Linked DNA regions of Drosophila melanogaster. The protein of the gene in region 1 purifies or fractionates together with the protein of each later gene. This does not show direct contact. Each region holds a gene or a part of one and is shown in the gene's direction. Other genes may lie near its edges. The genes, in order: fand, CG31368 and Brr2.

The links.
Region 2: the proteins of fand (region 1) and CG31368 purify together in Drosophila melanogaster (affinity purification with mass spectrometry, with the first as the bait; one large-scale study listed by BioGRID). This does not show direct contact.
Region 3: the proteins of fand (region 1) and Brr2 purify together in Drosophila melanogaster (affinity purification with mass spectrometry, with the first as the bait; one large-scale study listed by BioGRID). This does not show direct contact.

Annotation. Positions count from the first base shown.
Region 1 is NT_033778.4:13,590,044-13,599,680, forward strand, and holds fand (fandango), read left to right. Parts: upstream 1-3,600; 5' UTR 3,601-3,682; coding exon 3,683-3,727; intron 3,728-3,785; coding exon 3,786-5,816; intron 5,817-5,879; coding exon 5,880-6,455; 3' UTR 6,456-6,514; downstream 6,515-9,637. Other genes in the region: CG6191 (uncharacterized protein), read right to left, coding at 557-1,401; CG45088 (uncharacterized protein), read right to left, coding at 1,664-1,729; S-Lap5 (Sperm-Leucylaminopeptidase 5), read left to right, coding at 6,779-8,428. UniProt on the Drosophila melanogaster protein: Subunit of the NTC(Nineteen)/Prp19 complex, which is part of the spliceosome. The complex participates in spliceosome assembly, its remodeling and is required for efficient spliceosome activation. Essential for efficient pre-mRNA splicing.
Region 2 is NT_033777.3:11,877,847-11,887,405, forward strand, and holds the start of CG31368 (uncharacterized protein), read left to right. Parts: upstream 1-4,943; 5' UTR 4,944-5,027; coding exon 5,028-5,141; intron 5,142-5,202; coding exon 5,203-5,683; intron 5,684-5,745; coding exon 5,746-6,089; intron 6,090-6,091; exon of another isoform or gene 6,092-6,216; coding exon of another isoform or gene 6,217-6,475; intron 6,476-6,536; coding exon of another isoform or gene 6,537-7,040; intron 7,041-7,095; coding exon of another isoform or gene 7,096-7,277; intron 7,278-7,334; coding exon of another isoform or gene 7,335-7,505; intron 7,506-7,568; coding exon of another isoform or gene 7,569-7,693; intron 7,694-8,736; coding exon of another isoform or gene 8,737-8,989; exon of another isoform or gene 8,990-9,322; intron 9,323-9,559. Other genes in the region: sad (shadow), read left to right, coding at 216-425, 513-739, 811-1,163, 1,222-1,428, 1,484-1,804; CG6962 (uncharacterized protein), read right to left, coding at 1,934-2,236, 2,292-2,549, 2,609-2,921, 2,982-3,251, 3,309-4,135, 4,190-4,489, 4,546-4,578; mthl5 (methuselah-like 5), read right to left, coding at 6,217-6,475, 6,537-7,040, 7,096-7,277, 7,335-7,505, 7,569-7,693, 8,737-8,989.
Region 3 is NT_037436.4:15,960,312-15,972,419, reverse strand, and holds Brr2 (Brr2 U5 snRNP complex subunit), read left to right. Parts: upstream 1-4,547; 5' UTR 4,548-4,667; coding exon 4,668-4,712; intron 4,713-4,808; coding exon 4,809-5,504; intron 5,505-5,561; coding exon 5,562-10,305; intron 10,306-10,369; coding exon 10,370-10,544; intron 10,545-10,599; coding exon 10,600-10,882; intron 10,883-10,940; coding exon 10,941-11,426; 3' UTR 11,427-11,584; downstream 11,585-12,108. Other genes in the region: brm (brahma), read left to right, coding at 1-261, 335-1,126, 1,187-2,043; CG10516 (uncharacterized protein), read right to left, coding at 2,652-2,794, 2,860-3,421, 3,727-4,050; CG17032 (uncharacterized protein), read right to left, coding at 11,912-12,108. UniProt on the Drosophila melanogaster protein: Catalyzes the ATP-dependent unwinding of U4/U6 RNA duplices, an essential step in the assembly of a catalytically active spliceosome. Plays a role in pre-mRNA splicing.

The DNA of each region.
Region 1 (9,637 bases):
CTAACGTAAACTTAGCGGAAATTTCAATTAACAAATTTGGGGAGGGGAAAAATCGATGCCAATTATGACGACAGCTTAATTGAACTCAACAAAAGTTCAGTGATCAAGCGGAATGATTCATTCATTCTCGTAGCGTAGAAATTATTTATAAATCAACAAAGAGCAAAGGAATATTAAGCGAATTTCATTCGTACGTGTATGGTTGGAAAATATTGCGATTGGACTAAGGAAAACTGTCCACTTGACGTCACGTGTCAATCTATTTCTGAGTGTCTACAAGATAGAAGATCGTTTAATTGGAAAAACATAAATTTGAAGCTGCAATAACTTAACACATTTCCTGTTTGAATATTTTGGTAGGTTCCCTTATAGTCGATCTAATATAACATTTATAATATTATATAAACTTATGGTAAGAATCTTTACAGTTGCCTCTTCATACAGCTAATTTGATTACAACTTCTAGCAACTGCTTAACAAAATGCTGATTAGAAACCATAATAAGCTAAGATAGTTCACTGATATGACAAACATGAATTGTGCATTGATTACTCACCGTTCCCTCAGCGGCAATAGCTTGCTGCCCGCTCCGCCGGCCACGCCACCGCCGCTGCCCAGATTGGACACCTTGAGCGGTATCTTGACGCTGTCCGAATCGCTGCCACTCTCGGCACCCGATCCTCCGCTGCCGGCGGCGCAACTTCGTGCCTGCCGCTGTTGCTGCTGCAACTTGTGCTGCTGCTGCTGCTGCTGTTGGAGCTTATTGCCCATATTGCCATTGCCCGGTGCCTGGTGGTTATGACGACCCGACGAGGTCGGGCGCTTTATGTTGCGTCTCTCGGCCGGCACAATGCTGCTGCGATTGTGATCGGCGGCCGGCAGGACGTTCATCAGGTATTGACCCATATTTTCAGTTTCACTAAAATGCCCGTCCCCATCGCTGGCACCGGTGGTGCAGTCCTCCAGTCCCAATCCCAGCCCGATGCCGCCATCGATGCCCATGTGGACATCGGCGCTGCAGAGGAGCGGCGAACAGAGGGCGCCATTCTGGTGTTGCTGCTGCTGCTGATGCTGCTGCTGATGTTGCTGCTGCTGCTGCTGCTGTTGGGTGTGTTGCTGTTGTTGCTGTTGCTGCTGCTGCTGCGTGTGATGCCGCTTCTGGTGGTTGTGGTGCGTCGCCGAGTGGCTGCGCTGATGGTGGTGCTGCTGATAGTGCGGATGAAAGCCCCCCGAGCCGAGTCCCAGCGAGGATGGGTTCTTATTCTGGTTGCAGAGCAGGCTGCTGCCGAATGTTGCGCCGAATTTGGTGTCCCGATGGGTGCCATCTAACGAGATATTCGATAGGAACGAGATCGCAGCCAGTCTGCGCCTGTGTCTCGTCTTGTTGAGCGAACTTGCCATTAGGCGATGAACCCTTAATTACCAAGCGAGATTAACCGAAGTGGGTGCTGTGGGTCGTTTCCCTGGATGCTCCGATGTTGCTATATATGTACCTATATGTATATATAGTGTGTTTGTGTGTGTGTGCATATACTGTGTGGGAATGTGATGTTGCACTTTTCTGGAACACTCTTCGCGATTCTTTACGAAAAAACTGGTTTCGAAAGTGATTATGCTGCTGTTGTGTATTTTCACTGCTGGTTGCTCACTTTTCTTGATCGAATCAATTAAGTTTTTTAGTCTCTAACTTGGCAGCCGAATTAAAAAACAAACTACTTGAACGCGACATGGTGACGAATTTTTAGCACTTTAGATGACGGAAGATGGTTGGAATACGAATAATTTTATGCACTTTTATTATTAACTAGCGTTTATGCGTCGATGCGTTGCTTTGGCTGCAAGTAGAAATAAGAACAGAAGAGAGGAATGGAATCAATAAATGAGACTATAAAAAGCGGCAGGAAAGCTGCTTTTGGCCAAGAGAAGCTTTCTCCGAGCGTTTCTGGAATATTCGTTGAAGTGCAGTGGGTGGCTTAGGGGAAATTGTGGTCAGCACATTCTCATTCTCAGTGGGCAAAATATTGAATATGATATAATATTGTTAGCAGAAGTCATCTCAATATGATATTTTATAATTAGCAATGTTTTTAAGCTATTTTTAAGTGAATATGCTATGGTTTTTTCAACTCTTTTAGATTATTTACAATTTTTAGACATAATAATCATTTTAAAAAATCTCATTTGAAAACAACGGGCATTTTTAATTTTAAGAATTAAAAGTTTTCCTTGAAATAAACCCGAATCTTTGCTGGGATTTTAGCCAACTGAATTGATAAAGCTTTTCCGCTGGCAGTTAAAAAAGCTGCATGCGGCTCAAAGCTGCAGTGGTTTTAGCCGCCTTTGTTGTTGCTGTTGTTGCTGGCGGGCGGCTTAGTGTGTCAGTTTAGTGGGTGGCAACAGTGCGAAGAGAGGGGGTGGCAAAGAGAGAGATATTGGGCCACAGCCGGCAAGGAAAATCTAAGCGCTTTTCCGCACTTTCGTGTGTGTTTTCTGTTTACATTCAATACGGGAGGCCCTAAAATGCCCAAAATTTTCCCTCGGGCAACAAGAGCGAGTGGAAAATTTTTGAGAACCATCATAAACAGCTGTTCGGGAAGCGGGGAAATAGATTTTCCGGTGGTGGTTTTTTTTTACCTAGGATCCAGTCTAATTGGATTTACCTGGACCAATTGGAGTGCGGCGGCACACACAAGTTTGAGCCTGTGCGAAAAATATAAAATCAATGCAGGAACAAGTGTGTGCGAAAATATTTATGACACCCACCCACTCACACGCTCGCACACACACACTTGCAAGCACACGCACACGTGTGACGTGTTTTTTCGTGTTTTCCCCTCGTCTTTTACTTACCACTGTGCTTGGTTTTTCCACGGTCGTTGGGTATTACTTAAAACTTAATTCGATTGATAGTCGTTCTATGCTGAGAAATGTTTCAAGCGCGTCATTTTGATCTATTTTTATAGTGTTTTTTTCGATAGACTTTGATTTTTTGCCTTTGGCTGCCAACTCGCCTGCGCTCCTCACTCTCTTTGGCTCTCTTTTGCACGGCTGTGTGTGTGTGTGTGTGTGTTGGTGCACTCACGCAGTTGCCTTCGTTGCGTAAATTATGCAAAATGCAGGCCAATTGCAATGTGTTTACAAAAACAGAACAAACGATCGCGTTAAGTGTGTTTTTTGCGATTTTACGAGCGCGTTAACTGGTCTCTGCGAAATACGCAAACGGTATGAACGTCAAAATATTGGCAGCAGCGACGAAAACATCTGCAGATGGGCTTACGAAAAATTCACAAACTGAGGCCAGTGTTGGGCAGCGGACGAAGGGCGAAATACCAATTCAAAGGGAGGCAAAATATACCGCAATGGTACTCTAGAAAATTCACGATTGTTTTGGTTTGTCCATAACTTCAACGTTTAAATAAGGTGCACTTAGAAAATTCTAGATGTTCACAATTTGTAAAAAAAATGTACACAAGCCAAAGTTATCTTAGTTTTATGAACAATTTTTCTGTATTCTTAAAATATTGTTTACATGTTAATTAGGATTTAATTACTTTGGTATTAGCTGCGGTATCTTAATACCACTACTTTTCAAACCTTCTGGCAACGCCATTTCGATCAGCTGTTTTCGTGGGACGCGCATGAGAAAATTATTGTTTGCGGCATTTCATGAAAATCGCGAAAAATGGTGACAAAAACGATAAAATCTCTGAATTTAGAGATCAATTTCGTAAGTACCATGAAATATATGTAAATCACAACTAACCTATCAAGTTTTTCACACACAGGAAGTGGAGGATGTGCCGTATGAGGAGGAAATCCTTCGAAACGCCTACTCCGTAAAACATTGGCTGCGCTACATTGATCACAAAGCGAAGGCGCCGAATAATGGTGTTAACATGGTCTATGAGCGTGCTCTGAAAGAGCTTCCTGGCAGCTATAAGATCTGGCACAATTACCTGAGAACTCGCAGGAAGCAGGTGCGCGGCAAGATACCCACGGATCCCATGTACGAGGAGGTCAACAGTGCCTTCGAACGTGCACTGGTGTTTATGCACAAAATGCCACGTATCTGGATGGACTACGGTGCCTTCATGACCTCGCAATGCAAGATTACCCGCACCCGGCACGTTTTCGATCGGGCTCTAAGGGCTCTGCCCATCACGCAGCACGGCAGGATTTGGCCACTGTATTTGCAGTTTGTACGCCGCTTTGAAATGCCGGAAACAGCACTGCGAGTCTACCGTCGATATCTGAAACTCTTTCCCGAGGACACAGAGGAATATGTGGACTACCTACAGGAAGCAGATCGGCTGGACGAAGCTGCCCAGCAGCTGGCGCACATCGTCGACAACGAGCACTTCGTTTCCAAACACGGCAAGTCCAATCATCAGCTGTGGAACGAATTGTGCGACCTCATCTCGAAGAATCCACACAAGGTGCACTCCTTGAACGTGGACGCCATCATTCGCGGTGGGCTGCGTCGCTACACCGATCAGCTGGGCCACCTGTGGAACTCTCTGGCGGATTACTATGTGCGTTCCGGCTTATTTGATCGGGCAAGAGATATATACGAGGAAGCCATTCAAACTGTGACCACCGTAAGAGACTTCACCCAAGTCTTTGATGAATACGCACAGTTCGAGGAACTCTCGCTGAACAGACGTATGGAGCAGGTAGCTGCCAATGAGGCGGCCACCGAGGAGGACGACATTGACGTTGAACTGCGGCTCTCACGCTTCGAATACCTCATGGAGCGCCGTTTGCTGCTGTTGAATAGTGTGCTTCTGCGCCAGAATCCGCACAACGTGCACGAGTGGCACAAGCGGGTGACACTGTACGAGGACAAGCCCGCCGAGATCATCAGTACGTACACCGAGGCCGTGCAAACAGTGCAGCCGAAGCAGGCGGTCGGCAAACTACACACTCTCTGGGTGGAGTTCGCCAAGTTCTACGAGGCCAACGGACAGGTGGAGGATGCTCGTGTGGTCTTCGAACGCGGCACTGAGGTTGAGTATGTTAAAGTAGAGGATCTGGCGGCGGTGTGGTGCGAATGGGCAGAGATGGAGTTACGGCAACAGCAGTTCGAGGCGGCACTCAAGCTGATGCAAAGGGCGACGGCCATGCCAAAGCGAAAGATTGCCTATTATGATGATACGGAAACGGTGCAGGCGCGCCTTCATCGCTCGCTAAAAGTGTGGTCCATGTACGCGGATTTGGAGGAGTCATTCGGCACATTCAAGACGTGCAAAGCCGTCTACGAGCGGATTATTGATCTGAAAATCTGTACGCCACAGATCATTATCAATTACGGAATGTTCCTCGAGGAGCACAACTACTTTGAGGAAGCCTACCGAGCCTATGAGAAGGGCATCTCTCTGTTCAAGTGGCCCAATGTCTACGACATTTGGAACTCTTATCTAACCAAATTTTTGGAGCGCTATGGCGGCACAAAACTGGAGCGAGCCAGAGATCTCTTCGAACAGTGCCTGGATCAGTGTCCTCCCGAGCATGCTAAGTACTTTTATTTACTGTATGCTAAGTTGGAAGAGGAGCACGGTCTCGCCCGGCATGCCATGTCGGTCTATGATCGTGCCACGTCTGCTGTCAAAGAAGATGAGATGTTCGACATGTACAACATATTTATAAAGAAGGCAGCCGAGATCTATGGCCTGCCACGTACCCGCGAGATCTATGAGAAGGCCATCGAATCGCTGCCCGAGCAGAATATGCGCCACATGTGCGTTAAGTTTGCTGAGTTGGAAACGAAGTTGGGCGAAGTGGATCGAGCTAGAGCCATCTATGCTCATTGCTCACAGGTATGATAATATATATAGATTTCTAATGCATCACTTAATCTAATTATTGTTTGCATTCTTCAGGTTTGTGATCCCCGCATCACTGCAGACTTTTGGCAAACTTGGAAGGAGTTCGAAGTGCGTCACGGCAACGAAGACACAATGCGCGAAATGCTGCGCATCAAGCGCTCTGTGCAGGCCACTTACAATACGCAGGTGAACATGATGGCCGCCCAATTCCTGAGCACAAACAACGGAGCGGCTGCGGATGCTGGAGCAGGAGCTGGACCGGATGCCATGCGATTGCTGGAGGAGAAAGCTCGCCAGGCGGCAGCCGAGTCCAAACAGAAGCCCATCGAGAAGGCGGCCTCGAATATTATGTTTGTGCGCGGTGAGACTCAGGGTGGTGCTAAGGATAAAAAGGATACGGTCGTCAATCCTGATGAGATCGACATTGGAGACAGCGACGAGGACGATGAGGAGGAGGACGACGATGAGGAGAACGAGATGACGAACGAGAATCAGGCCAGTGCAGCGGTCACGAAAACCGACGAGGAAGGCCTGGTCATGAAGAAACTGCGCTTCGAACAAAAGGCCATTCCAGCCAAGGTCTTCGGCAGCCTCAAGCCCTCAAATCAAGGCGACTCTGATGGAGAGTAAATGTTTATACATATATATGACTTTTTTCGGGGTAAATACATGTATGTCGAAAGTTTTACAATTGTAATTGATCGGTTTTTATGTTCTGGCCTCAATTAGATTCTTAAATGGTACTTTGATATTAATTGTTGTCAAACGAAGGGGGCCTGTTAGATATTGTCTCCGTTTTGGATGATCTAGTTAGTATAGCCTTAGGCCAAACAGAGGAACACACTTTCAACTGTCATTCCAAAATTGTTAGGCACTTCGTGATCTAAAAAAGCTAACCAGACGTGCGCAAGGGCGGACTAACCAGGACTAACCACACACCGTGTATCTCGAAGATGGCATCCACACGCATGATCAGTGCTTTTACGCGCAATCCAAGATTATATCAACAGGTCACGGCACCCTGGAAATCGTACAATCTGTTTGGAACACCACTTTTTAACCACAGACTTCAGCCAGCGGATTCTCAAATCTGGAGGGGATTAGCAGACAAGTGTGACAACAAGACTGTTATCAAGGGCGTGGTGGTGGGCGTCTACTCCAAGGAGGGCGACGGTAAGGAGGTCAAGATGACGTCCAGCGGCGAGAAGTTCGACGACCGAACTCAGGGCAAGGTCTCGGAGCTGTTGCGCGAAACTGGAATCAAGGGGGAACTGGGCAAGGGTAAGGTCTTCATGAACGTGGATGCCGAATTCCGGGCAGTGGCTGTGGTGGGTTTGGGCCAAGAAGGTGCCGGCTTCAATGACCTGGAGAATATCGACGAGGGTATGGAGAATGCCCGCGTTGCCGCTGGCGTCGGAGCTCGGGCATTGCAACTGCAGGGTTGCACGGAAGTCTTTGTGGACTCCATGGAATATCCGGAGCAGGCGGCGGAGGGCAGTGCTCTGGCCATCTGGCGTTACAATAGCAACAAGCGCAAGCAGGATCGCACTCAGGTACCCAAACTGGATCTGTACGACTCACCGGATGTGGATGCCTGGACGAGGGGTCTCTTCAAGGCGGAATCTCAGAACTTGGCTCGAAGATTGAGCGATTCGCCGGCTAATCAGATGACCCCCACCATATTCGCCCAATCGGCGGTGGATGCCCTGTGTCCGTGCGGCGTTTCCGTGGAGGTGCGATCCATGGATTGGATAGAAATGAATCATCTCAATTCGTTTCTAATGATAGCCAAAGGCAGCTGCGAGCCACCGGTGGTCCTGGAGGTCAGCTACTGCGGCACAGCACCCGAGGATCGGCCCATTCTGCTGTTGGGCAAGGGTTTGACCTACAACAGTGGCGGATTGTGCCTGCGGCCAAAGGATTGCCTGCATATGTACCGCGGCTGCATGGCGGGAGCAGCCGTTTGTGTGGCCGCCGTTCGAGCTGCGGCAGCCCTTTCCCTGCCTGTAAACATCACGGCCGTACTGCCGCTCTGCGAGAATATGCCATCGGGAATGGCTGTAAAGCCGGGTGATGTGGTCACCCTGCTCAATGGCAAGACGATGGGTATTGTGGATGTGAGCAAAGCTGGAACGGTGGTATTGGCTGATCCCCTGCTCTTTGCCCAGACGACGTACAAGCCTCGTCTGGTGGTGGACTTGGCCACCGTTGGCTATGGCGTCTGTGCTGGCCTTGGAGAATCGGCTGCCGGATTGTTTACCAATTCCAATTTCATAGCCAAGCAGTTCGAGAAGGCTGGCGGCCTGACTGGAGATCGTTTATGGAGGCTGCCCTTGTGGCGCTACTTCAAGCAGCTGGTAACCCCGAATCTCACCTTCGACATCAGCAATAGGGGCATTGGTCCCGCCTCCAGTTGCATTGCTGCCGCCGTGCTGCACGAACTGGTTCCATGCGCGGATTGGGCCCACATTGATATCCGGAATGTGGGCATGCTGACACGCCACAATCCGCTGCCGTATCTGCTCAAGGATCGGATGACCGGCCGACCCACCCGCACCATCGTACAGTTCCTGTATCAGATGGCCTGTCCGGAAAGCAAGTAGTCTCCGGATCTGGATCGTCCGCACCTGTGGCGCTAGTTACCACCATTGCTCGTTCTATTTTACATTTGTTACGTGTCCCGTTTTTGGTGTTTGTTCTTTTCACAATATTGTCTCCATGTCCAAATTTTTGGTTTAGTGTTCCGTGAGCAGCTGGGTAACGACACATTGAAGACAGTTTTACGGACAAATGGACCAGCTCAGTTATTAATGGTGGAAGCAGTTCGACTGGCTTCTATGGATCGTCTCCCAGCTGCACAAAATTAAATGATTTTAAAGTGCAACATTTATGGTTACTTCTAATTTATTTAATAATCGTATAATCTCATTGCATAATCTCGTTATTCTAGTGGAGGGTATAGATCTGTCTGTCCGTATAAAAGGACAGTGATCACATTGTAGTAAATTATTTAAGTTTTTTTTAAGCATTATAATTATAAAAGCTTGACCCCTCCACACATCAAATGCTACTTACTTCAGTTAATTGAGCGAGAATGCGAAATGGGAGCGCAGGGAAAGTGTTTTATATAAACTTGACAGCCCACTCCACGCCAATCTTGCTTTTGGCCCTTTTTCTTGTTGTTGCAGCACTGTTACGAGGGCGGCTTATTAGCCTAATTGCGTGAAGTTGGCTTTAATGAGTCGCAAAAGGGGCCAAGCCTGGCCCACAAAAGGCCACAAAGCAAAAGGCGCCTTCTGTTTGTTGCTGCTGCTGTCCTGTTGTGGCTTTGAATTTATGACACGGCTTTAATGGGTTAACTGGGTTAATGCTCATGCCTCAGCTCATCAACTATCACCCCCCTCCCCCCTCACCAACGTTCCATGGCTCGAATTTTTGACAATTAAGCCGACATTTGCGTTCCCAGCTAGAATTCCTCGAGGATTCGGGAAAGATAAGGGAGGATGCTACTTGAAGGATCCCCTTGGCAGCTAAAAGTGCGAAGAGCGCGAAAATCTTAATACGGCGACATTTTGCACAAGTCATTAGGCCATGCAAAGTGATAATTTTTGAACCATTTTAGCACTTTTCAATTTGGGCTACACTACACTGCATAGGGTCGTAGGGAATATTTGCATATTATATTAATTAGTTAGTAATAAGAAAAAACTTGTTAATGAGCATTACATATACATATATGCTTGTTACTAAAAAGTAGAAAAGAACTAAATATATCTGATGAAATATAACCAGTTTAATAACCTTATAAAATC
Region 2 (9,559 bases), on another chromosome or scaffold:
GATACTAAATTATATTAAAATCTCACAAATCGAAATATTTAAATCGAAATATCAAAGCTGCAAAGAAGAAAAATATGTTGAAATATACAAGGACGAAACTAAAAAACTAATCACAATCTCTTCGACTTAAGAGAGTTCAACTACAATACATATGTATTAATATATTTTCGCCGAAAGGATCCATAGTTTAACCCGTATATCCTTTATCTGTTTAGCCTTCATAAGTACATCGATGCGAGGCACAAGCAGTATGGTCCCATTTTCCGGGAGCGATTGGGCGGTACCCAGGATGCAGTGTTCGTATCGTCCGCAAATCTCATGCGCGGAGTCTTCCAGCACGAGGGTCAGTATCCGCAGCATCCGCTGCCGGATGCCTGGACGCTGTATAACCAGCAACATGCCTGCCAACGGGGACTGTTCTTCATGTAAGTGGAGTGGACCAAATGAGTCCGTTGAATTGCAAATGTGGAGCCGACGAAAACGATCTCTTGTCTCTTCTTCGATGGGAATAGGGAGGGCGCCGAGTGGCTGCACAACCGACGCATACTTAATCGACTGCTGCTCAACGGAAATTTGAATTGGATGGACGTGCATATTGAGAGCTGTACCAGACGAATGGTGGATCAGTGGAAAAGACGCACTGCGGAGGCGGCGGCGATTCCGCTAGCGGAGAGTGGTGAAATACGAAGCTACGAACTGCCCCTGTTGGAACAACAGCTCTACCGTTGGTCCATAGAAGGTACAAGACGTCATGCATTAAGGGCTGATCCCCATACAAAATGATTTCATCCCAACTCTATCCACTTGTAGTTCTGTGCTGCATCATGTTTGGCACCAGCGTGCTCACCTGCCCCAAGATCCAGTCCTCGCTGGACTACTTCACGCAGATTGTGCACAAGGTGTTTGAGCATAGCTCGCGACTGATGACATTCCCGCCTCGCTTGGCCCAGATTTTGCGCCTGCCCATCTGGCGGGATTTCGAGGCCAATGTGGATGAGGTGCTGCGTGAGGGAGCTGCCATAATCGATCACTGCATCAGAGTGCAGGAGGACCAAAGGAGACCGCACGATGAGGCGCTTTACCATCGCCTCCAGGCGGCGGATGTGCCAGGCGATATGATCAAGCGGATATTTGTAGACTTGGTCATTGCAGCAGGTGACACGGTGAGCAATCCAATTGAATTGCAAAGCCCATTACTAATTGTAGTTACACCTCATTTAGACCGCATTCAGCAGTCAGTGGGCTTTGTTTGCCCTTTCAAAGGAGCCGAGGCTCCAGCAACGACTGGCCAAGGAGCGAGCTACCAATGATTCTCGCCTGATGCACGGCCTGATCAAGGAGTCCCTGCGTCTGTACCCCGTAGCTCCCTTCATTGGCCGATATCTGCCGCAGGACGCGCAACTTGGCGGTCACTTTATCGAAAAGGATGTGAGTGAAAGAAATTTCTTTGAGTGCCTCATCGCTCATGTTTGCCTTTTTTCAGACCATGGTGCTGCTCTCCTTGTACACGGCAGGTCGCGATCCATCACACTTTGAGCAGCCGGAACGTGTGCTCCCGGAGCGCTGGTGCATTGGAGAGACGGAGCAGGTGCATAAGTCACACGGCAGTCTGCCTTTTGCCATCGGCCAGCGGTCTTGCATTGGTCGCCGTGTGGCACTCAAGCAGCTCCACTCCCTGCTGGGCCGATGTGCTGCTCAGTTTGAGATGAGCTGCCTTAACGAGATGCCCGTTGACAGCGTACTCCGCATGGTCACCGTGCCCGATCGGACTTTGCGTTTAGCCCTTCGGCCGCGAACCGAGTGATACAGTCATACACGCATAAACATAATCATAGAACTAACACTAATCGTAATTGTAATCGTAGTCTCTTTAGTTTTATATAAATATATAAATGTCACATATTTAGTAATCTATCTAGTTAAAAATTTCAAACTAGGAAAACAATGCCTGCAGCATGATATAGACTAATAGCACAGTCGCCAGAATAAATATTCCCAGGAGTGGGGCACCCCACACCAGTTGTCCAAAGATCATCGAACAACCGATCGTTGTGAGAGCGGGTATAGAGCCCAATGGTCGTAGGCAAACTCGCGGAGGAACCAGATTTTCACATATTTCAACGTGGCCGGAGCTTTTGTCAAACCACTGTTCCGTCATCGGAGCGTACAACAGTTGCCGGGCCACTTTTCCGAAGTAATCGTCGCGGACGTAGAATCCTTGTAATTGACTACCATACTGGATAAAAAATGTTATCAGGGAAAAACAAAGAGGCCATTTTAAAGAAACTTACCTTATTGTTAATCTTTTCCGAAACGAAATGCAGCATTCTTACCAATGCTCTAACTTCATTGGTTTGGATGGGCAGCGTGGCGGGATCGACAGCGGCATGCAGGCTAGAAGCATTGAGCGACATTTGGTGCGGGTTCAGCTTTGAGGTGTCCAAAGTGTCGCTGGCGTCGAAAAAGCTGAAATTTTGCACAGCAGGCGCAGAAGGCACAGATGGTTCCTCTGGCAGAGTTTCATGCATAGATAGATTCGCTTGATCAACCTGTTTAGATATTCAAATATTTAAATTTTATGTTAACCAAAAACGAACAGTAAACTCACATTAAACGTTCGACAGAATGCGTCGATGCATTGACGCAAAACCTCCGGAATGCGACTGAACTCGCGCAGGGTCACTTCTTCCTGGGTGCACTCGCCAAAGATCTTCTTATAAAAGTTCTTAAGAAATCCTTCAGACCGCTGTCTCTCCGCAATTTCATTTCGTAGCTTGGCGATGTCTCTGAGCACCGAGTTGCGGGCCATACTGATTAGCAACAAGAAGGTTTCCATTTGCGTTTGCATAGTATAACTAAAAAGTTTGGCGGAGCTTATGTTAACAGCTTGATTCCACGGAGTGCCTGGAGAAACGGATTTGCTAAACGAAACAGGATTATTTTAAAATGAGAAGTTATTTAACTAAATAGTCTCAACCCACTTCATTATGTTGACTTGGCGCTGTGGCGAGTCAAAGCCAAAAGAATTGCCTGCATGTATAGCCTCAAAACGCTGAAGTTTATCTACTAAATCATGTTGAGAGAAGATTGTGGCCAGACGGTACAGCATAAATGCGTTCCTATACACAGTGTAGTCCAACCGCCCAAAGTGTGGCAGTAGCTGCATAAATATGTGAGTGTACATAATAAGGTTGTCGATAATAAAGCCATCGAAGCAGGACGAAATGGGCGGCCTGTAGGAAAGACTAGGTCTGAAAAGAAATGTATTAGTGGTCTTTAGTGTTTCAATTTATCAAGTTTAATCTTACGTTTTATTGTTCAGCGACGCTATGGTGTATCTCCATGGCTGAATGTAACTGAGCCAAAGCTCCAGCACCACCATCAACGAGCTGTCCAGAGGCCAACGATCGATCAAACCAACAATAAAGGCGTAGATTCTTGCCTTAACCATACTCAACGATACCTTACGCAGCGCGCACAGCGAACTGTGGTCGTGCTGAGCGCCATTTGCAAAAAAGTGCACCTGCTTGACCAAGGTGCGTACGCCGCGCACAAAATCGCTGCTGGGCAAATGATGCTCCGACTCGATGTCGTAACGCAGCCAGATGTCTACGAAAAAGTGGAGTACACTTTCAGATCGCCATGCGTAAGCCCGGTTGGAGCTGGCACTTGGGCTGTTGGACTGTGGTGATATGTTCCCGACGCCAACGCTTGCACTGGGAATGCCACCGCCGCCCGACACGTTTCCACCATTGCGATAGGAGCTGGGAATCTTAATGTAGCGCGGTTGTCTTTGGGGCTGTAATGCTTGGGCTGGCAATGGCTGTGGCGCCTTAACCCCGCTGCTAAAGTGCACCGGTTCTATGCGTGCATCGGGAAGCAGCGGCAGGAAGTTGTTAAGGTACTCGGCCACCAGTTTCAAGTAGACCGTTTTGCTGCGCACATTGTGGATTTGCATGGCTATGGGATTGATAGAGTGTAGTGGCTGCAGGGCATATAGCACAAAGTGAATCACATAGAAGTCGAAGGCGTTGAGCGAGAGCGTGGACACCTGGTGCATCATCGTCTCCACATTGATGAGTTCTGCATAGAAACTAGGATTCTGACCATTCTGCAGCAGGCTAACGAATTTCGCCTGAAACGAAGGGAATTAGAGTGAGCCATAAATACCCCTATTTAATCCACTTACCGGCAGCAGATTGATGTCTAGTTCGAATTTGTACTGGTCGACGAGCAGACGGTGGCAAACATGCATCAGGGGACCACAGACGCCGAAGAACTGGTGCAGCGTTTGGAATTGCACCGGATTGTTTTCAAGCGTCGTGGTCCGCAGGCCCCAGCCCAACGGATTGCCATCTATCCCGAAGATGGAGTGCACAACGTGGGGGAAGATCTCCTGCACTTGGCGCAAGGAGCACCGATCGAACAGGATGCTCAGCTCGTGCACGCGCTCGAATAGAGGCAAACTGAGCACCGTCAACAGGCGGCTCTGGAATGGAAAGATATTAGAGCGCAATTTGTATTACCTCGATGCTCGCAACTTACGCTTAGGTTTTCTGGCGGCATGGTCTGCGACATGGTGAGTTCGTGTGCGTCAAAATTGTCTTAAATTACAAATAAATATCACTTTAAATCATAAAAACTCTTGCCGGCGTGCTGTAAACAAAAACCTTTCGTCGTGTTGCCGGACCTGCGAAAAATGGTATCATTCCATAGGGCTGCGACATCGGCAAAGAATACGTGAAGTTTTTATAATAATTACATTAAAATTTTAGTGAAATTCGATAGCGGTAATTAATCAAATTCTGAATAATTAATAAAATATTATTTCTTGCATTTTAATTTAGAAACGGATTGGTTATTCGTTTTGCAGATGGTACGGGTTGAGGTGGGAACAGAGTATTTCGGAATAAAAAATTTGGTATATTTTGTCGGCCCTACAACGGTCACACTAGCAACCGGCAGCGTTTGTTTTGCTGCAGATTTTTGTGTTTATTTTCGTTTTTGTGCAATTTAACAAGATCAACATGAAGCGAAGAAGTCAAACTAGAGCCGAACAAGCCGTTCCACCAGCTAAAACTACAAAGGAGAATAGTGGATCGCTCACAGTGTCCCAGCTCAGCTCCGATGTTATTTGGCAGGTGGGTGCTCCGCTGGACAAAATCGAAGTGTAAATTATAGATCTGGATAACCTATTTACAGCTGGCATCGCAGTACTGGACGCCGGACACGAAAGCAGATCACCTGCCGTACAGTGCCAAGATCATCGAACGCATTTACAATGAGGAGATCGGTGATGGCGGTGGCCACAGTGCACGGAGGATAAACATGCTGGAGTTCAGTCAGTATCTGGAGCAGTACCTGTGGCCACACTACCAACGTGAAACCGCCACCCATGCCCACCTTATGTCCATCGTTATAATGGCCAACGAGAAGTTCCGGGAGCGCGTCGAAGTTTGGACCGTGTTTGAAAAGCTCCCGGATCAGTATCCAGCCTTCTTTCGCCACGTGCTAGAGAGCTGTTTGCCGAGCAAAAAGGCAAAGGAGGCTAGTAGCACGCTAAGGGAGCGGACAGCGCTGTTGATGTTCATTAACCACTGCTTTAACAGCATGGAGATAGAGCTGTGCAGAGAACAGGCCAAACGACTAGTCTCCTTGTCCATGTGGCATTGCCTGCAGCCTCGTAAGTTCTTCTTCGCAACTCTTCACATCTATCAAAGTGATCAAAAATGTATTTGCTTGCAGGCCGTCGCGAACAAGAGCTTCGAGAAGTTCCTGAGTGGCGAAAGTACTGGAAACGCTTGCTCAAGAAGGAGAAAGACAGCAAACCGGAGGTCCTCTGGGAGAGACACTTTATGCAGAACCTTATCATTGACTTCCTGCACATACTCGAAAGCATTCCCGCCGAAGGCGAGGTGCCGCGCAACGTGGTTCACTACTGTGAGCGCTTCCTAGAGTTTATTATCGACTTGGAGGCACTTTTGCCGACTCGACGCTTCTTCAACACGGTTTTAGACGACTGTCATCTGATTGTGCGGGCTCTTCTGTCACCCTTGGTTCGTCGCGAGGAGGGAAAACTGTTTGGTCAGGTAGGTGTCAGACTTCTCATTTAATAACTATCTCGTACAGCATAAATTAGTTAAAATTAAGTACAAATCTCAATGTTGGACATTGCTAAACTACGAAAACACTTATATTAGTGTGGACGGTGGCTCCTCAGTAATCGTTGCCGTTCATATAATGCAGCTCATCGCCCCAGTCGTTTGCCGACGGTGGCTCATTGTAGCAGCAGGTCTTTTTCAGCAGAAATGTCACATGTCGCTGGCGCAGCACGCATATGTATAGCAACAGCGGCGTCTGCAGGGCGTTAACTACGATGTGGGCGTAAAGCAGGCCTTCCATCTGCAACCAGGACATTATGAGGAATAGCCAGGCTATAGACATTACTAACAGCATCAGCGAGAACATGATAAAACTGCAAGGAAGATAATGTTTTCATATACTTATATGTAATGCCTAGATGCCGATCTACTTACTTGGCTTTCAATTTGTGCGCAATGCGGCCGTATACCGTCCTGCGGTTAATCAACTTCCTGGTGGTCACATAGAAGAATATGTTTACCAAAATGGTACAAGCAATTGGAGCAAAGAATATGCATATGCCTAGCCAGCCGATCGTCTCTTGCTCGCCCACCATGTGCTCCTGTTTGTAGGATTCGGCGTCGAGGAAGAAATGTGCGAAGACAGCCAGTGCAGCCATCGTTGCTGTGCATCCCCAAGCATACGCAGAATAATAGCAGTACTTCCTGCCGTCCGTGACTCGCAGGAAGACGTTCCTCGAACGAAAGGTCTTCCAAATGTAAAAACCGAAACTGTTCAGCCAGAAGAAAGCTGCCAAGAGGCTGAAGCACAGGATAATGTCCGCCACAATGAAGCTCACATGGCTGGTCAGCTCGGTGAAAATTCTGACAAGGTCTGCTGCCTGGCTTACCATAAGGCACATGGCTATCGTTGTCACAATGTTACCAACCAGATCTCTGCTGAATGGATTGAAAATTAACGCATGAAGCAAGTCAAATTCAAACTATTGCTCACCTGAGAGTAGGAAGTATAAAATAGATGATGGCGATGACCAGCAGGATAACAAGCGAGATGCCATGGAAAATTGGGTTTAAGATTTTGCGGAGCAGAAAGTTTGAGTCACTCCACTTGATCTCCTTGCGGGCCAAGCAAATGTTGGCGAATAGCACATTTTCCTCTCCAGTACTGGAAGTGGCCTGCGAATGGATTTTATGATCATCCATGCAATTTATGTGGACTTTAGCTACTCTTACCTTGTCAATGCAATACAATCCCTTATCGTAGTCATGGTATAGCGGTTCCAGACTGCCGGCAATATCCTCCTCATAATCCGATTGTATTCCATGACGCTCCTCTGCTTCGTTTTCGGCATTGGTGTAATGCCTTAGCCTCCCATCATCCAGTAACACTAGCTTATCAGAGCTCTAGAAAATATAAAAATATCTATAAGTATCTAAAAGTTTCTATGCAAAGAACTTCAAACTCACGCCAGCATAGTGGTATATTGGCCACATCTGCATGGATCCACAATTTGGAATCCCGATGACGAATTTGAACTTAACGGGCCTGTTTTGCTCTCCTCCATAGCTGGTGAACATCGGCTGGAAGTAGTCTGCAAATGGAAACGGACGATAAATAGAGAACACAGACCGTGGAAAATCATAAAGGCAGTTCAAGTTAACGCTGCTTTTGTTGCGGCTGGTGGATCAGAGGGGAGCCAGATTTTCTTTTCTCTCTGCGAATATAAATATTTACGCTTCTGGGCAAAGAACTTGAGCTGTTCCATGCGCCTTCATCAGCTGGTTTTGCAATTTGTGCAGATTGGTTCTTCTTCAATTATCGGAGTTCGGATACATTTTTTTCCACTCAGCCATTCATATGTTAATCATAGCTAAGCACACGGAAATTAGATTGCATGTTGCGATTATGTGCCCTGTTGTATTGTAGTATTGGGATTACTCAAATGACTACAATTAAAATCGGATGAGATCAGTACAATGCAATGATTCAACTATCAGTAATAGTTACATTTTTATGTGTCACCTATATGGCCGATCCATGGTCATAAATGTTTTATCCAGTTTTAGTTGTCCGAGCTAGAATATCGATATAGATGCTAGAGTACGCTTTTCTATTTCCCACAATTGTTGCGATTGTTTGTCAAACATTCACCCAAGGCAATATATCACTATATTCACCATTAGCTCCACAAACATTAATTACCAGGGCTCGCATTTATGGGGAACAGAAGCATCTTATATTACCTTACTAATGGATTTTTTGCCTCATTTTACTTCCAAGAGATAATATTCCCGATTTGGGAATCCCTCATCAAGTGGCTACTTTATAGTTTAAACAGAAACATGCCCCACAGCATAAATCATATTTCTCATCAGGATTGGGGCCACCCTCTGTTTGTTTTAAGAACTTTCTTGGGGGAGTGCGAACTGTGGAGTTGGGGATATTTAGCTGTTGGCTTCGTTCCACTGATCCACTGATAGCCAACAAATGGGCCATTTAATGTTGGGCATACATATGTTGCATGCCAGAAGGGAAAATCCATAAAGTTGAATGGCCAACCAACTTCGTTGTGGTTGTTATGGCAACTTTTTCGAGCGACTAGGAGTTTTCCGCCTGGCCAGCTGTTGAACTTACCCGTTTCATTGACCTGCTGACACTCATGGTCCACGTGTATCTCGAACTTCTCGCAACATTTGTTGACCAGCACTAGGTTGGGATCGGAAGATAGGGCTGTTGATGATCCGGCGCTAGTGACATGACTGGTTACTGGTAAAGGGTTTAGACTAAGAAGTAATACGCAGAGCAGGGAAATCAGCAGAGCGCAGCAGCTGCATTTTTTTGCATTTTGCCCGGCTGCAAAATGCGCGCCAAGCGTTTTTACGAGCATCTTTTGCTTAGTAACACAGACACAGATACAAATACAATACACAGGTAAAAGGCAGTTGTCGTTGGTGTTTATGTGGATCTGCGCTTGCTAAGAAATGCGTCATCAAGGTGCCGGCTGTGAGCCAAGATCATGACTTGCATGCCAGAACTCAAGTAAGGCGACACTTTTTTTTGTATCAACACACCCACAAAGGCACTTTCGTCTGGGTTTCAGACTCGTATTCGGTTAATAAACAATGCGCGCTTTACTTCCTCTTTAAACAGTATTCAAAACGAAATAAAAATTGAAGAAGCAACATCAACCGATTCGAAGCGACGACAAAAAGCGAATGACTCTCTGTCCCCGGCTCTTAATATCGAGTCACTAAGGCGGCGAGAGAGTGGAGAGTTGCGAGAGCAGCGCTCAACCCCCACCAAAGAGCTCCCTCTCTCGCATTGAAAACCAGACTGAGCGTTGTACCCGAGTGCACCGACTATTCACTGCCCTGCCTGAAGGAATTTAAACCCACATATAATACCGTTCTTATTTATTTTCCGATTTAATACTTTTTTAAGGCATGCTATCAAATGT
Region 3 (12,108 bases), on another chromosome or scaffold:
TAGAGCACCAGCTGCCCGACAAGGTCGAGTACATCATCAAGTGCGACATGTCCGCGCTGCAACGCGTTCTCTACAAGCACATGCAGAGCAAGGGTGTCCTGCTCACCGATGGTTCCGAGAAGGGCAAGCACGGCAAGGGAGGCGCTAAGGCGCTGATGAACACGATCGTACAGCTGCGCAAGCTGTGCAACCATCCGTTTATGTTCCAGCACATAGAAGAGAAGTACTGCGATCACACTGGCGGCCACGGAGTTGTATCCGGTAAGTTTATCTTGTTAATTTTTTGGTATATTTATATTTACATTGGTATAATCTAATCTTTTTCAAATTAAAGGACCGGATCTGTATCGTGTCTCTGGCAAATTCGAGCTGCTTGATCGCATCCTGCCCAAGCTGAAGGCGACCAATCATCGCGTGCTGCTCTTCTGTCAGATGACCCAATGCATGACCATCATCGAAGACTACCTGGGATGGCGCCAATTCGGCTACCTTCGACTCGACGGTACCACGAAGGCCGAGGATCGTGGCGAACTACTGCGAAAATTCAACGCCAAAGGCTCGGATGTATTTGTCTTTTTGCTATCTACCCGAGCTGGTGGTTTGGGTCTTAATCTGCAGACCGCCGATACTGTAGTAATCTTCGACTCCGATTGGAATCCCCATCAGGATCTGCAAGCCCAGGATCGTGCCCATCGTATTGGTCAACGTAACGAGGTGCGCGTCCTGCGACTAATGACAGTCAACTCGGTGGAAGAGCGCATCTTGGCAGCAGCCAGGTACAAGCTGAACATGGACGAGAAGGTCATCCAGGCTGGTATGTTCGATCAGAAGTCAACGGGTAGCGAGCGACAGCAGTTCCTACAAACGATTCTGCACCAGGATGACAACGAAGAGGAGGAGGAAAATGAGGTGCCCGATGACGAAATGATCAACATGATGATCGCCCGCAGCGAGGAGGAGATTGAAATATTTAAGCGCATGGATGCTGAGCGCAAGAAGGAGGATGAGGAGATCCATCCGGGTAGGGAACGTCTGATCGATGAGTCCGAGCTACCCGACTGGTTGACAAAGGATGATGACGAAGTAGAGCGTTTCCACTATCAGTACGACGAGGATACCATTCTAGGTGAGTTACACTGCTCGCTGTTATTTAAACATTTTTCTTACGATAACTATTCCGCCTTAGGTCGAGGCTCCCGGCAGCGAAAGGAAGTAGACTACACCGATAGTTTGACTGAAAAGGAGTGGCTGAAAGCCATCGACGATGGCGCTGAGTTCGACGAGGAAGAGGAGGAAGACGATTCGAAGCGCAAGCGACGAAAGCGTAAGAATCGGAAGGAAGAGTCCGACGATGATTCGTTGATCCTAAAACGGCGACGACGCCAAAATCTGGACAAGCGGTCCAAGAAGCAGATGCACAAGATTATGAGTGCGGTTATCAAGCACAACCAAGATGGACGAACCCTGTCCGAACCGTTCATGAAGTTGCCTTCGCGGCAGAGGTTGCCCGACTACTACGAGATCATTAAGCGGCCAGTTGATATTAAGAAAATCCTGCAGCGCATTGAGGACTGCAAGTATGCCGATCTCAACGAGCTGGAGAAGGACTTTATGCAGCTATGCCAGAATGCACAGATCTACAACGAAGAGGCGTCTCTGATTTACCTGGACTCGATTGCCCTGCAAAAGGTATTCGTTGGGGCCAGGCAGAGGATAACAGCTGCAGCGGATGCAGCCGCAGTGGCAGCCGGAGATAACACGGGTGAAGCGCACGGCAATGGAGGTTCGGATAATTCGGACAACGACGACGACGATGGTGGCGATGACGGCTCCGACGACGAGGAGATTGCAACCACTTCAGCGGCGGCTGTCAAAATGAAGCTGAAACTGAACAAATCTCTGGCTAGTGCGCCCGCTACGCCCACGCAATCATCGTCGAATGTGAGCAGCGGAGCGGCTACCACATCCAAGAAGCAGACGCGTCGCAAGCGCTCCCAAAAGAAGTACACTATTTCAGACGATGACGACGATGACATGGACTAGCTACCGTTGGGAGTGATCTTCAAGCGCGGATCGTCGGATGTCGAAGGCATGGGCAATTGATTATTAATTAGTTTAAGTTTTACTTTCAAGGACGATGCTTACCAAAACCCTAGCCTACGGGTTTTTTTAACCATCTAACCTATCATGCTATCACTTTTATCTATACTAATTTTCTAGTTGTAGGTTCTCGATTAAGTTTCCTATTCAATTATTTTCGCACACACCATTTATTTCTCCCAATTCTATTGATTGTATAATTATGTGCTTTAAAATAAATGCATACCTAACATAAAGTAAATCGAAAAACTTGTCATTAATGGACGGCGGATTGCTCCTTGAGAGATTGTTCAACCTAGACCAGGCTGGAATTAGTAACAAAGATCTTATTTAAATCGGTACCTAAATGAATACATCGCTGCTAGCGTATAAAGGAAATGGTTTTAAATATATCAAAATGGGAAAATTATGATGTTTCGTTTAATTAATAAGTTGTATTTTAGGAAGTCTTACAGTAATTAAAATTAGCTTCAGCATTTCTACTTATTACATTTATAACTAAGCTCCTTCAAATAAATGCATACTTAAACATATTGATATGCTTGGTAAGACTAAAGCAGGTAGTGGAAGTACTCGTCGCACATCTCGTGGACACTAGCGGTGTGCTCCTCGTCGCCGCTATCACTGCTTCGCAACGTGATTTTGTGTGCATTGGCGTACAAGTCGTCCTCATCAACAGCCGCATCGTCGGTTTCTATTAATTGAAATTGCAAAAGTGATGTGGCAGAAATGATAGTGGACGTAACTTCGTGACCTCACCTCGGTACTTTTGTTTGCGCCTCAACCGTTGCTTGGAGCTTGAGAGCACTGCTTCGTCGCCCAGATCCAATTCGTTTTCGCGGGAGTTCCGGGAGTAACGAATTGGCGGTGCCAGGAACCAGTAGGATTGCATGATGCCTTTGAGACCCGGCATTTGACGCAGTTCGGCCAATTTGAGCGGCTGCCTGGACAATGCTTGGAAAGATCGCAGCTGCAGTGTGACTGGTTGCGAAGTGCAGTTGATCAGCCTAATTACGGACTTCGCGGCTGTGGAGCAGACCATGGGATATATTTTGACATCCGGATCCGTCGGGACATTGGTGTAGGCCACTCCCAGCGATCTGCGGTTCAAATAGAACTCCAAGTGCCCACGCGTTCGATCCAAACAGACACCAATCAAGCAGCCCTGCGAGAACTTCTGGCCGTAGGGCAGTAACTCGCCACAGTGCTGAATCCTTCCGGAATACGAAAAGCCCCAGGACTGGGCATTGGTGCCCAGGGCCGAGACAAAGTGAAACTTGAACTGCCCTAGATTAACGCTTTCCGTGCCGATGCCGAACATCTAGGAAAAGTTATAAGAAAAGAAAGGCAATTATAAAGAGAACATTATTTACATTGAACTTTAGCTGGCTTATCATCTAGTTGGGGTGTCTGCTGAGATTTCCTCCTCCCGCTGCGTCTGTTATCTTATCGCCGCGTTGTAATCTGTAATCCATAATACAACGAAGCGAACAATCAAGTCGTCTCCAATGGAAACGAGCACACCAGATGCCTGGTTAGTTGTGTTCTATTTTAAGGCGGCGACTTTGAGTGACATTCATCATGCTGAGCATCCCAACTAGTTGCCAAGCCGGCCTGATAACTAACCACATCCGTGCCGGCCAGAGTCGTGATGACGCGCATCTCCCAAAAGTGCACCATGTTTGTTTTTAGGGCCTGTTCCCCTCTCACAATCGCCGTGCCCTGACTGTAGGTGGGATGGAAGATGATGTCCCGGTCGGTGACCACGGCATCCGATTCATCAGTGGCGTGCCACCGCCAGGCATTCACGTTTCCGGACTCATCCTCGCCGCATTGGCACCTGACCAGGTCGGGTATATGGCCCTTGTGGTTGGTAACCTCAATGGAGTTGGGAAACGGGCAATCACAGAAGCCGGGATTGCAGGCTTCTTGGTACGGGGGCAGCAGCATGCTGGCACTTGTTCCTCTTCACTGGTTTACCTTCGATTGCTTTGTAATGAATTGTGTCAGCCGTGTACAATGATCTCGAGCAGTCGACGGACCACAAATGTTTCCAGTTAAACCAGCTGCAGCCTCATATATAAGCACATTACTCTGATCTGACTGAACAATAAACAAAACGATGCGTTGTAAATAGACGTCGGCATCGCTGCCGACGTCGCCGCCAGTGTGACCGAAGCCGCAGTTCGGAACTTAAAATATACTAGATATATCTCAATTATGAGAATTATGGTCAAATTTATAGCAATTTCTTTTGTGGATTGCTAGTGCGTAGGAAATTTTGGTGTTTACAAAAGCTAAAAAACCAGTATTCAAATTTTAAATAGAATGTTGATGGGCTACATTTTTAAAAACTTAGATGCGCGCGCTAACGATAGGTTTCCTACAAATGGCAGCCCTGATATCGATTTTCAGTTGGCTTCGCACATATGGCATCTCTTTAGCCTTTTGACAATCTGGCAGCACGCGTAGCCACAAACAGCGGCTTTTCACTACGATATTTCCGCAAAAAGTTGTAAAATAGGTTAATAAAAGTGCTTAATACTTATAAAAACAACTAAACAGACATGGCGGATGCCGCAGCACGTCAGCTGCAATACGAGTACAAGGCGGTAAGTGTCAAATCCCGCCCGGGAAAACTTCTCCCACTCCATGCGGCGTCTCACCAGAATTTCACAAACACGTTAAATGTATTTTCCATTTTTCAGAACTCCAATCTTGTGCTGCAAGCCGATGTCCGACTCATCGAACGTCCGCGCCGCGATGAGGCCACTGGCGAGGTGTGTTCCCTGGTGGGAAAGCTGGACGGAACAAGGATGGGAGATCGGTACCAGCGAACGAAGCCGGAGAAAACGGAGGAGCGCAAGGTGAAACGTCAGAAGCGCGACGAGGCCCAGTACGATTTCGAGCGGATGAAGGGAGCCACTCTGCTCTCCGAGGGCATTGACGAGATGGTGGGCATTGTGTATCGACCCAAGACCCAGGAAACTCGTCAGACCTACGAGGTCCTGCTCAGTTTCATCCAGGAGGCTCTGGGGGATCAGCCCAGGGATATCCTGTGCGGTGCCGCTGATGAGATTCTGGCTGTCCTCAAGAACGATCGTTTAAAGGATCGGGAGCGAAAGAAGGATATAGACAGCTTGCTGGGCGCAGTTACAGATGAGCGATTCGCTCTGCTGGTTAACCTGGGCAAAAAAATCACAGACTTTGGCAGCGATGCCGTGAATGCTTTGACTGCTGCTCCCAACAACGAGGAGCAGATCGATGAAACCTACGGCATCAATGTTCAGTTTGAGGAATCCGAAGAGGAGAGCGACAACGACATGTATGGCGAGATTCGCGACGATGATGCCCAGGATGAAGGAGAGGAGGCCCGCATTGATCACACACTGCATGCAGAGAATGTGAGTAATGTAGTTAAAATTGCGAATCCCATTTCTTATTCGTGTATCCCTTCCCAGCTAGCCAACGAGGAAGCCGCAAATAATGTAAAGAAAGAGCGCTCCTTGCATCCTCTGGACATAGATGCGTATTGGTTGCAGCGTTGTCTGAGCAAGTTCTACAAGGACGCCATGGTGTCGCAAAGCAAAGCCGCCGATGTGTTGAAGATCCTCAAAGATGCCGCCGACGATCGCGATTGCGAAAATCAATTGGTGCTTCTGCTGGGCTACGATTGCTTTGACTTCATTAAGCAATTGAAGCTTAACCGGCAGATGGTCCTGTACTGCACCATGCTCGCCTCGGCCCAAACGGACAGCGAGCGGCAAAGGATTCGCGAGAAGATGCGCGGAAATTCTGCGTTGGCCAAAATCCTTCGGCAATTGGATACGGGAAAGTCAGAGGATCAGGAGGAGGGCGAAGCACGGGGAAGCAAGCGTGGCAAAGGCGATGCAGAGGATGGTGGAGCGGCGGCTGCCGGGCAGGTGGCCGGTGTGCGACAGCTACTCGAGTTGGAAGAGATGGCATTCACTCAAGGATCTCACTTTATGGCCAACAAGCGCTGTCAGCTTCCCGACGGCTCCTACAGGAAACAACGAAAGGGCTACGAGGAGGTGCACGTGCCTGCACTGAAACCCGTGCCATTTGATGCCAATGAGGAACTTCAGCCTGTGGACAAGCTTCCGAAATATGTGCAGCCTGTGTTCGAGGGTTTCAAGACCCTTAATCGTATCCAAAGTCGTTTGTACAAGGCCGCACTGGACAGTGATGAGAATATGCTGCTGTGCGCCCCTACTGGAGCTGGTAAAACTAATGTGGCACTGCTAACCATGATGCGGGAGATTGGAAAGCACATCAACGAGGATGGCACCATCAATGCGCAGGATTTCAAAATCATTTACGTGGCTCCCATGAAATCGCTGGTGCAGGAAATGGTTGGCAATTTTGGACGACGTCTTGCTTGCTATAATCTGACGGTCTCTGAGTTGACTGGAGATCACCAGCTGACCAGGGAACAGATCGCCGCCACGCAGGTGATTGTGTGCACACCAGAGAAGTGGGATATCATCACTCGAAAGGGAGGCGAGCGTACCTTTGTGAGCTTAGTCCGGTTGGTTATCATCGATGAGATTCACTTGCTCCACGACGAGCGTGGTCCGGTGCTTGAGGCCCTGGTGGCGCGTACGATAAGGAATATTGAAACTACCCAGGAGGAGGTGCGATTGGTGGGCTTATCTGCCACACTGCCCAACTATCAGGACGTGGCCACCTTCCTACGCGTAAAGCCCGATAAAGGCCTCTTCTACTTTGATAACAGCTATCGGCCTGTGTCCCTGGAGCAGCAGTATATCGGTGTGACGGAGAAGAAGGCCCTAAAGCGATTCCAGGTGATGAACGAGATCGTTTATGAGAAGACCATGGAGCATGCTGGGCGTAATCAGGTCCTGGTCTTCGTACACTCGCGCAAGGAGACTGGAAAAACGGCCAGGGCTGTGAGGGACATGTGCCTGGAGCAGGATACCCTTGGTAGCTTTCTTAAGGAAGGATCAGCAAGCATGGAAGTGCTGCGGACTGAAGCCGAACAAGTAAAGAACACAGAGCTTAAGGAGTTATTGCCCTACGGCTTCGCCATTCATCATGCTGGAATGACCCGCGTCGATCGTACTTTGGTGGAAGATCTATTTGCTGATCGGCACATTCAAGTTTTGGTTTCCACCGCCACGCTAGCTTGGGGTGTCAATCTCCCTGCCCATACTGTAATCATCAAGGGCACGCAGGTATACAATCCGGAAAAAGGACGTTGGGTGGAGCTGAGTGCTTTGGATGTACTGCAGATGTTGGGTCGTGCTGGACGACCGCAGTATGATACCAAGGGTGAGGGTATTCTTATAACCAATCACAGTGAGTTGCAGTTCTATCTCTCCTTGCTCAACCAGCAGTTGCCGATTGAGTCCCAATTCATCTCCAAGCTTCCTGACATGCTCAATGCGGAGATTGTGCTAGGAACGGTCCAACATCTCCAGGATGCAGTTAACTGGTTGGGCTACACTTATCTGTACATTAGAATGCTGAGGAATCCCACGTTGTACGGAGTTTCCCATGATGCCATCAAGGCTGATCCTCTGTTGGAACAGCATCGTGCTGATCTCCTGCATACCGCAGCTTGCTGTCTGGAGAGAAGTGGCCTTATTAAATACGATCGGAAGACGGGACACTTTCAGGTTACTGATCTGGGACGCATTGCCTCTCACTATTACCTAACCCATGAAACCATGCTGACTTACAACCAGCTCCTTAAGCAAACTCTTAGTGAGATTGAGTTGTTCCGCGTATTCTCCCTATCCTCGGAATTCCGGCATATTTCCGTCCGAGAAGAGGAAAAGTTGGAGCTGCAGAAGCTCATGGAACGAGTGCCCATTCCCATTAAGGAGTCCATTGAAGAGCACAGTGCCAAGGTGAATGTTTTGCTGCAAGCCTATATCTCCCAGTTGAAACTGGAGGGCTTTGCATTGATGTCGGACATGGTGTTTATTACCCAATCCGCTGCCCGTTTAATGAGAGCCATTTTTGAGATTGTATTGACCCGCGGATGGGCTCAATTGGCGGACAAAACGTTGACGCTCTGCAAGATGATCGACAGAAGAATGTGGCAATCGATGACACCACTTAGGCAGTTCAAGAAGATGCCCGATGAGATTGCCAAGAAGCTGGAGAAAAAACACTTCCCCTGGGGCAGGCTTTACGATCTAGAGCCACATGAACTTGGTGAGCTGATTAGAGTGCCCAAGCTAGGAAAGACCATCCACAAGTTTGTGCACCAGTTCCCCAAATTGGAGCTCTCCACGCACATTCAACCCATAACAAGGGGAACTCTGAGAGTGGAACTAACAATTACACCGGATTTCCAATGGGATGAAAAGGTGCATGGCCAGTCGGAAGGTTTCTGGGTTTTAATTGAAGATGTCGACTCGGAACTCATTCTCCATCATGAGTTTTTCCTGCTGAAGCAGAAGTATTCCCAAGATGAGCACCAGCTTAAGTTCTTTGTGCCTGTCTTTGAACCTCTGCCACCGCAGTACTTCCTTCGCATTGTCTCAGATCGTTGGATAGGTGCAGAGACCCAATTACCAGTTTCTTTCCGACACTTGATTCTGCCCGAGAAGAATATGCCACCTACGGAGCTTTTGGATCTCCAACCGCTTCCTATTAGTGCACTCCGGCAGCCGAAGTTTGAATCCTTTTATTCGCAACGCTTCCCGCAATTCAATCCCATTCAGACACAGGTCTTCAACGCAGTCTACAATAGTGATGAGAATGTCTTTGTTGGAGCACCAACCGGATCCGGAAAGATGACTATTGCAGAGTTTGCCATCATGCGCTTGTTCACTACCCAATCCGATGCCCGATGTGTATATTTGGTCTCGGAGGAGGCATTGGCGGACTTAGTTTTTGCGGATTGGCATAGCAAATTTGGATCCCTGGACATAAAAGTGGTTAAATTGACCGGCGAAACTGGAACCGATCTTAAGCTCATAGCCAAGGGACAGCTGGTGATCACTACTGCGGATAAGTGGGATGTGTTGTCTCGCAGATGGAAACAGAGGAAGAACGTACAATTGGTGAACCTGTTCATTGTGGACGAACTGCAGTTGGTTGGTGGCGAAGAAGGTCCCGTTTTGGAAATTGTATGCTCCAGGATGCGATACATTAGCTCGCAGATTGAGAAACAGATCAGAATAGTGGCGTTGTCTGCATCGCTAACGGATGCCAGGGATGTCGCCCAGTGGCTGGGCTGTAATCCCAATGCCACTTTCAATTTCCACCCCAGCGTGCGTCCCATTCCGTTGGAGCTGCACATCCAGGGCTATAATGTCACTCACAACGCCACCAGAATTGCTACGATGTCCAAGCCTGTTTACAATGCCATCCTCAAGTACAGCGCCCACAAGCCGGTGATTGTGTTTGTCTCGTCCAGAAAGCAGGCCAGGCTCACTGCAATTGATGTTTTGACCTACGCAGCATCGGATTTGCAACCCAACCGTTTTTTCCATGCTGAGGAGGAGGACATCAAGCCGTTCCTCGAACGAATGACGGATAAAACTTTGAAGGAGACCCTAGCGCAAGGAGTGGCCTATCTCCATGAGGGCCTATCCGCCTCAGATCATCGCCTGGTGGAGCAGCTGTTTGACTCTGGCGCCGTGCAAGTAGCTGTTATCTCCAGAGACCTTTGCTGGGGCATGAGCATCTCCGCTCACTTGGTGATCATCATGGACACACAATTTTACAATGGCAAGAATCATTCGTATGAGGACTATCCCATTACAGACGTGCTGCAAATGATTGGTCGAGCCAATCGGCCGAACGAGGATGCGGATGCCAAATGCGTGCTGATGTGCCAGAGCAGCAAGAAGGACTTCTTTAAGAAATTCATCAACGAGCCGCTGCCCATCGAAAGTCATTTGGATCATAGAATGCATGATCACTTTAACGCCGAGGTGGTCACCAAGACAATTGAGAACAAACAGGATGCCGTTGATTATCTCACCTGGACGTTCCTCTACAGACGATTGACCCAAAATCCCAACTACTACAATCTGCAGGGTGTCACGCATCGCCATCTCTCCGACCATCTTTCGGAGTTGGTGGAGAATACGCTGAGCGATCTAGAACAGTCCAAGTGTATTAGCGTGGAGGATGATATGGACACGCTGCCACTCAATCTGGGCATGATTGCTGCCTACTATTACATCAACTACACAACTATCGGTATGAAGCATTAGATTTAAGTTTAGGCAATTGTCATCTTCATTTTCCTATCATTTTTTCCCAGAGCTCTTCAGTTTGTCCCTCAACAGCAAAACAAAAGTGCGGGGCCTGCTGGAAATTATTTCATCGGCAGCTGAGTACGAGGATGTTGTGGTCAGGCATCATGAGGAGCAGGTTCTGCGCACGCTGTCTCAGCGACTGCCCAACAAACTCACAGGACCCAATGAAACGGCTCCAAAGTAAGCAACCCATACATTTAGATCTTAAAAAGAATTTTACCAATGTTATTTTTAGATTCAATGATCCGCACATCAAGACCAATTTGCTGCTTCAGGCTCATCTTTCGCGATTGCAACTGGGACCTGAACTGCAAGGCGATACGGAGCAGATACTGAGCAAGGCCATCCGCCTCATTCAGGCCTGCGTAGATGTGCTGAGTTCAAATGGCTGGCTGTCGCCGGCTGTGGCTGCCATGGAGCTGGCTCAGATGGTCACGCAGGCCATGTGGAGCAAGGACTCGTACTTGAAACAGTTGCCGCACTTTAGTCCCGAGATTGTCAAGCGGTGCACAGAGAAGGTGAGAGTAACAACAAGTGAATCTCTAGGATTATCTCATGTTTCGTCGTATATTTCAGAAAATCGAAACCGTTTTCGATATCATGGAATTGGAGGACGAGGATCGCACTCGCCTGCTGCAGCTCTCCGATTTACAAATGGCCGATGTTGCTCGATTCTGCAACCGTTACCCCAACATTGAGCTGAACTATGAGGTGGTGGACAAGGATCGCATCAACTCAGGATCAACCGTTAATGTAGTGGTTCAACTGGAACGTGAGGATGAGGTCACTGGCCCAGTCATTGCTCCATTCTTCCCGCAGAAGCGCGAAGAAGGATGGTGGGTCGTCATAGGTGATCCCAAGACCAACTCCCTGCTCTCCATCAAACGGCTCACGCTGCAGCAAAAGGCAAAGGTCAAGCTGGACTTTGTGGCACCTAGTCCGGGCAAACACGACTACACTCTGTACTACATGAGCGATTCCTATTTGGGTTGTGATCAGGAGTACAAGTTTTCCATCGAAGTGGGTGACTTCCAGTCGGAAAGCGAAAGCGAGTCAGATTAGTTTTCTTTAGGATCATCAGTTGGGCATGTTTGCACAAATGAAAATCAATCATTTTACAATTTACGCGCATTAATTGTAGCAATAATAAATTCGTGTACTACTTTAGTAGAAACCAAATTGTACAAGGATACACTGAGGATAATTATATAAAGTAGTACAAAAAAAAAAAAAAACAAAATAAAAAAAACCTTTCAACTTTCTTTCGCTGGTTGATACCAAGAATCTAAATATTTTGTAGTCAACAGTGCCAATTCTTATATTGTCTTAAGCTTTTAAATTTCGTATGGAACAATTCAAGTTTGTTGTAATTTGTAATCTGGATCATCAAAATGCAACCGTTTAGATTTTAAAAAAATCATTCAAATTATTCATTCAAATTCAATTCAATCATAAATATTTATTTGGATTTTTTAGATATTTGCACATAGGATTGCTGACAAATAGATTAACTTGGAGGTATTTTCCCTGTATGGTGAACTTGGCTTTTAGCGGCTGACAGAAACTGCCGATCCATGGCTACTGCCACGATTGGCTCCTCCATTAGCGAAGCTGTTCGTGGAGCTAAAGTTTATTGTCTGTCCATTGGGAAGATGGTAAACCTGACTCAGCGAAGCACCTGCCGCATTATTGGATCCAAAGGGGCTGGTGTTCTGGGACTGAGTGGCCGTGCTTGCGGAGGAGG